2 linked regions of the Caenorhabditis elegans genome follow. The protein of the gene in region 1 purifies or fractionates together with the protein of each later gene. This does not show direct contact. Each region holds a gene or a part of one and is shown on either strand. Other genes may lie near its edges.

What was found. The genes of interacting proteins can lie anywhere in the genome.
Region 2: the proteins of F14F9.6 (region 1) and K05C4.4 fractionate together in Caenorhabditis elegans (co-fractionation; one large-scale study listed by BioGRID). This does not show direct contact.

Annotation. Positions count from the first base shown.
Region 1 is NC_003283.11:5,145,419-5,148,648, reverse strand, and holds F14F9.6 (uncharacterized protein), read left to right. Parts: upstream 1-2,154; 5' UTR 2,155-2,158; coding exon 2,159-2,389; intron 2,390-2,437; coding exon 2,438-2,470; 3' UTR 2,471-2,524; downstream 2,525-3,230. Other genes in the region: F14F9.2 (Secreted phosphoprotein 1), read right to left, coding at 2,868-2,915, 2,974-3,051, 3,101-3,230.
Region 2 is NC_003279.8:14,733,714-14,737,323, reverse strand, and holds K05C4.4 (Leucine Rich repeat-containing domain protein), read right to left. Parts: upstream 2,102-3,610; 5' UTR 2,089-2,101; coding exon 1,992-2,088; intron 1,936-1,991; coding exon 1,824-1,935; intron 1,776-1,823; coding exon 1,589-1,775; intron 1,546-1,588; coding exon 1,068-1,545; intron 1,025-1,067; coding exon 909-1,024; intron 864-908; coding exon 540-863; 3' UTR 128-539; downstream 1-127.

The DNA.
Region 1 (3,230 bases):
CGCCGGAGGACGCCCTAGCAAAGCGTTATTTGATGCAATATTGCGAACAGTTTGAGCGAAAAGATGAAAAACTCAAGTTATCCGACGTCCATGACGAATGGATCCGTTACATCCAAACGCAGCAGCAATCCAAAGTCATCACAGCAACTCCCGCCAAACATCCGAAATTCGAAGTAAACCAAGTTGATGCAGATGACAAGAAGAAGGATTCGAGAAAAGGAAACTACAGATCTCCGTATTGTTACAAGTGTAAAGTAGTCGGGCACGTTTCAAAAGACTGTCCTCAGAGTTCCACCAATTCAGGTGTGACCAATCGTAAGACTGAGCATTCTGAAGTGAATACGCTCGAGGTTGGGTCTGGAAGACAGACATCGCCTAGTCTTCGGTTGAACGTGGAAGGACAACAGATCGATTTCACATTTGATACAGGCAGTGACATCACCCTTATCAGTGTCCAGAACCGGCAGAAGATCGGGAAACCGCATCTCGAAAAGGTCCACCACAAAATTTGCTGTGCCAATGGTACTGAAATCGCTGTCAAAGGTAGAGTGCTCGTATGGTTCAAAGTCAAAGGTGTCGAATACACTGAGTATGTATACGTCTGGAACAGAAACAATAATCTGTTAGGCACCAGTTGGATGCGCCACTCGCCTCAAATGCGTGATGCTTTGGCCGTAATGGTTAATCATATATCCACTGTGGATACTTCGAAGCAAAATCTGCACTCGTTCTCAAGGATTCCTACTGGATACAAAGATCGTGCTGAAAATGTTGGGAGACATGTTGTTGCATCTGCGCCGCGTAGTAGTAAGCGCCAGTATGTAAGATTTGCGCGCAATAAAGCATTTCAGATTGGGCAATTGTGCCTTGCTCGGGTTCAAGGAGAGCACAATTTTGGCTGGATTTATGGAGTTGTTCAAAGACAAGTGAACGGAGTACTCTATAAAGTACAGTTGGGATCGAGAATTCAGAGGATTCACACGAACCAACTCCGTCACATTTGCGGTCGCCGGAGCCGTGGGAATGACTATGCTTCATCCTTCATTGAAAATCCGTGCAAATTGTCGCTTTTGGAAAACATTCCGCGCTCTAGTTGCCGCCAAAAATTTGTCGCTCAAGGTGTCCGTGGTGAGGGGAGGGAAGCTATTCCAGTTTTAGTTTCAGATTCTTCTGTTTTTGGTTTTAGTGCTCCAGATTTGTCAGCTTGTGAGTCTGTTGGTTCTCGATCTGCTCGTGAAGTCGTCTCGTCGGTTGCCGGCAATGCTCGGAATGCTACTGGTGCAAATATAACTACGATTCATGTCACGGAGAGCAAGAGTTCGTTGAAGAAAAGCCACAGAAGACGTCACCGTGTGGCTAAGAGTCGCCAATCATATACTGCTGGAAGTTCGCCAATCAAAGAAACCCATCTGGACCCCCTGCTGGAATCCGATGTTGCGAGTGACGGCGAGCGTTTCCAACCCGGCATCCTCCTGTGTCATTCTCTTCGACAGAGCCACCCACGACAAGTTGTGCGAGGATCAGCCCCAAACACTGATCATGCCTCCACTCGCCGCAGAGGTCGAGATACCGCCTCTGGTCGTGATGCCCCTAGCCCAGGCATAATTTCTGGCTTTTTGTCATACAAGAGGGGAGATGTTGTGGACGGAACGTAAACCTGAACTTTATACAGACGTGACCTTTGGGTCATCATGAACTTATCGCGTAAGCGACCTCTCTTTATAATTCATTACTTCTTACATTCTCTTGTAATAAACTTCTTCTCTCCTTGTCACTCGCTCAATACACAACAAGAAGCAATCGGATTGTATCAGTATCTAGGTAGATAGTAAGTATTAGCTAGGCCTAGGTCGCAGTTGCTTTAAAAACATTGGGGCAATTCTATTTTTAAATGAAGCTATAGTCACTGGCGTTAGCTCATCATGAACCATTTGTTTTAAATATTAAAAAAATTATTTAAGTTCCCAAAACACTGACTCATATGTATTGCCACAAATGACAAAGTTTCCAAAACATCCCACAGAAAACAGCTGGTCAAACACAGGTGCACAAAAAACCGAATACAAAATACTGTTTTGTACTTGTTAAGCACACATTATAACACATAAGTGTAAAACTATAAAACCAGAGTTATACGATAAAAATACAAACAGTGAAAATGTTTTCTAGAATTATACCCCTTTTATTCCTGACTATTGTCACTGTTGGAATATTTGCTGCCCCTTTTAGACAAGAATTTGATATTCTGGTTGGAGGCAATGGAGATTCGAATATGAAAGAATCAGAGACATTTTATATTGAATACGATTCCGACTCTGGTTGTGATTGTGTGAAAGACACTGACTCTCCGCTAGCAGGACTGGAAGGGCTTGAACTGGAAGGGGACACGGTGAGCTCCTAGATATAGTAAGCTTGCGTTATCAAAATTATATTTCAGTTGGAGCTCGAAGAATTAATAATTAACATCTAATCGTCATAAAAGTGTGCATCTTATAAACTTGTATGGAATAAACTTTGCAATATAACTTAACTTTTCAATATTGAAGAATATGGATAGAGTTCGTGCTCGTCACCTGTCATTTTTCATTTTTCGAGTTTTGCAGAATAGAGTGCATTTATTTAAGCACAAGTAAATAACTAGTGAAAAATGGTTTTGATCTTACCCATCATACGTCAAAGAGAAAATCATATTCCCTGACCAGAAATCTGTAGACGTTCTTGAAGCGTTGTGGATATCAATTAATTTTTACATTTTTTACATTATTTTTAAAAAAATCCTCATTAAAATACATAATTTTATTCACAACATCAATATATTTACAAAAAAAATTTAATCAGAAAAGGTCAGAAAAAAGAACCAATGAGAATTAAACAGTTGCCGTGGTTTCCTCGAATTCTGGTTCCAATGTGAAATGCTGAAAAAAAAAGAAAAAATTAAATCAGGTCGAATGGTTTTCGGTAAGCAAACTCTACCTTTCCCCTTTTACCATGCCCTTTTCTAATTAGCACCGGGTCATCTGATGAGTCAATCTCTGGTGGGGAATAGTGATCCTGAATAATTATATCTTACAGGTTTTGAAACTTATTCATCAAATCTTACGTTTTCATGGCTGTCAGAGTGTTCAGGCTCATCGGAATCTTCGTGTGAATTTTCTTCCGATTCTGTGTTCGATTCTACAGGAGCTTCTGATCCGATGAAAGGAGCTTCTGACCCGATGAAAGAATCATCT
Region 2 (3,610 bases), on another chromosome or scaffold:
CAAATTCCACCCTAAAATTTTCGCCATTTTCAATTTTTTGAAGCTGCAGCCTGAAAACTAAAAGATACCGAGTGGGAAAGTGGAAACATTGCCGTTTTTGAATATGAAACAAACATTTCAGCGAAGATACATTACAAACCCTTTTAAAACAACATAGGAAAACCAATAATCACAGAAACATCAATCAAAAATGCGAAAAAAATATGAAAAATCGGTATTTGGCTGAAAAAAAAAATTTTCAATCGAAAACTTGCTAAGCCAATGAAACTGAATACAATGTTGGGATTAAATAATATAAGGAGAGATAACGAGATATATATATATATATATATATAATTTACGAAATAGGTATTGTAACAGTAAAAAAAAAGGAAATTTTCATGTCTTCTTCGGTTGCATTTGTTTCAAGCTTCTCTCCTGATAACTGATGTGACGCCAGAAGCTGCTGGAAGTGCTGCTGGAAGGTTTATTATCCTCATCTTCAAAATGTTCTTCCAGAGCTAGTGGTGCCATCTTTTCCGGTTTATCATCAATTCTCTTCAACGTCGGGATTCTTTTGAAAAAATAAGTTGCAAAAGATCGGGCAACTCGAAAATGCAACTCGAAAAGGCAACTCGAAAAGCAACTCGAAAATTATCCGACAGCTTCAGATGCGTGAGCGATTTCAGCGACAGCAAAGGAAATGTGCAGTTCATTGTAAGAAAGTTGTTCCGCAGGTCGAGATGTTCCACATTTACAACTTGTTTAACCAAAATTCTCGTACATTCCTTGATATTGTTGTTTGAAAGGCCGAGAACTGTGCAATTCGGCAGGTAAGGAAAATTGCGGAGACTGTTCAAGCAATGGTCCCGGGCAGTGAATTTCTGGAAAAGAAAACAAATTTCAAAATTTGATCAACCAAGACATACCTTAATACCTTCCAGATTGATCGATCGGAAGATTTCAAGATTAAAACAGAATCCGCTCACATCCAATGTGTCCGGGCGGACTTCAAGCAATCTGTTCACGGTAATTACATCCAATACTGAAAACTTTTCTCATCAGGCTATTACGGTTTTCACACCTACCAGACATATCTTGTACCGTTGAGACGTATTGACCGACTTCCGCAATCTCCGATGCGAGCGTCTCAAATTTTAATTCATTTTTGTCAACGATCACTGATTCGGTTATAGTTTTGAAACCCAATTTCAAAATGGTCTCCGCAAGATTTTTTTCACTAAAATTGTGGGAAGTGAAGAGCTGAGCACGAAGAACTTCGTCGGTTTTCGAATATGTGACTCTTTCAACTCCTTTCCAATCATGAAAACATTTTTTCATCGACTTTTCCAAATCTTGACGCATCTCTAAAGCTTCAAATTCAAAAATTACACTGTTCGAGATATTTCGTGTAGATTTTTGAGAAGATACGCTCTCTGTTTCAGAAGCCTTCTTTAGAATATTTCTTTCATAGCCAATAGTCGACTCCTTCACATTTTGAAGAACACGGGTCATCAGCTCTTTTCCACGAGCTTTCGCTTTGGCAGTCAAATCGAACGTGTGAAGCTGAAAATGAGAAATTTAACAATTTTCGGAGGAAAATTCTAACTTCGCTGATCGACATGAAATCTGCGGCGATGGCAACCTTGAGCTGCTCAAAAAATGGTGCAACTTGAGGAATCAAATCCTTTACTTCGTTATCATTTGCACAATTTATTAGGTGGCTGCGAAAATCAGATGAAACAATAACGGAGAACTTGTCGAGAATTGCATGGGACGCTGACTTCTCCGCGGATCTGAAATTAAACTTAATTTTTATCGTAATTTTCAAAGGGTTTGCTAACTGCGCATCTGGGCCGGTTCCTTTTGAATGCAGACAACACGCCGGAATTGTGGCAAACGATATTAATCGTTTCACGGCAGCGGTCGCGGGAGGCTCCACATCACGTTTGATTTCTGCAAAATGGAATGTTTATATATATTTTTTTCATTTTTCTCCGGAGATCTCCTACTCAAATCAAAATCCTGAATTATTAGCGGGCATCCCAACTGAGCTGCCAGGTATGAAAGATTTTCGAATATTGTGCGACGTGATGATCTTGACGACATCTTGTTTTGAATTCTGTAAGGAATTTTTTGTGAAAAAAAAACATAAACTCAAAAAATGAAAAAAGAATCAGGAAATACATGACTTCATCAACGAAAAACAGGAAATTTCACCTAACGATATTTTGACTACGGTAGAAATTGTTTAGTGCATATCGTGCGATTTACTAGATGCACACATTTATTTCTACCGTAGTAACGCAATGAATTATTTTGAAATTCAGAAATTCAACGTGAAGATTTGAATACAAAAATCCTGTTTTTTTGTCTCCCGTTTCTGTCATCTCGCTATCACGCCTCATGCAAATGAGAAATATAAATTTTCGCGCGCGCACCTGAGATTAAATTCCAAATTGTTTGTATTTTTATTCAATACTACGGTAGACATCGCTAGGAGATATTTCGCGCCACAAATGTAGGCATTCTCATGTTTTCATAGTTTCTCACTAAATCGTGAGATTGCGTAAGGAGCATTTAGTTTGACGCGCGATACCTCTTAGTAAAAACTACAGTAATAATTTAAATGCTACCGTAGCGCTGGTGTTGATTTACGGGCTTGATTGCCTAAAATATTTTCTTATCGAATTTTGACAGCAATTTTCATTTTTCCTTCCCTTTTCCGTATTATTTTTGTTATTTCTATTCTTTATTTTATTCTTTTTTTCTATTTTTTTTTTATTAATATAATTATTTGATCAGTAAATAAATATTTTTAATTTAAAAAACGTGCAAAATTGGTTTCATTTTAATGAGGAAACTCCCAAGCAAGCATTTATTTTTCTCTTTTTCATCTCTTTCTCAGATTTTTCAGGAGAAGGCCGACATTTACATCTGAAAAGTAAAAATTAACAATTTTTATTGATAATAATTGATTTTATTCAGGTTTTCAACAACAATGGGGGCCTACTCAGTAAACCCGTTCAGAATATACCCAGATTTAAACCAAATTAAAACCGTACAAGCCTATATTGTGAATTTATCTGCACAAATTTGGTTTGGATCTACACAAAATCGATTTGGATCTACACAAACCTACACAAATTCAGTTTACATCTACTCAAACTTGCAATCTATGCAAATTAAGTTTGGATCTAGACAATCTTGGTTTACATCTGCCCAAAATTAGAATTTTTCATAATATAGGCTTGTACGGTTTTAATTTGGTTTAAATCTGGGTATATTCTGAACGGGTTTACTGAGTAGACTGCTGGCTGTGGTTCCGAAGAAGAATGACTTCGGATACGAAGGTAACCAAGAAATGAAATGAAAAAGCTCCACACAAATCTTTTAGAATCTTTATTTTCGACGGAGTTGTTTGACAAAAAAAAAGTTGTAATTATCATGGTGCGCCCATAGTCTGCGGAAAACGGGAATTTTCCGCGGTCCGAGGCGTCCATTGTGCGCGGAAAAAAACATGGAATTTATCGCTTCGCTATTGGTCGATTTCAAAATAGTGGGCGTGTCCAACCAATTAGAGCCTGTTAAATTTTAAGCGAAAATTTACCGTATGACATTTGTGACATGA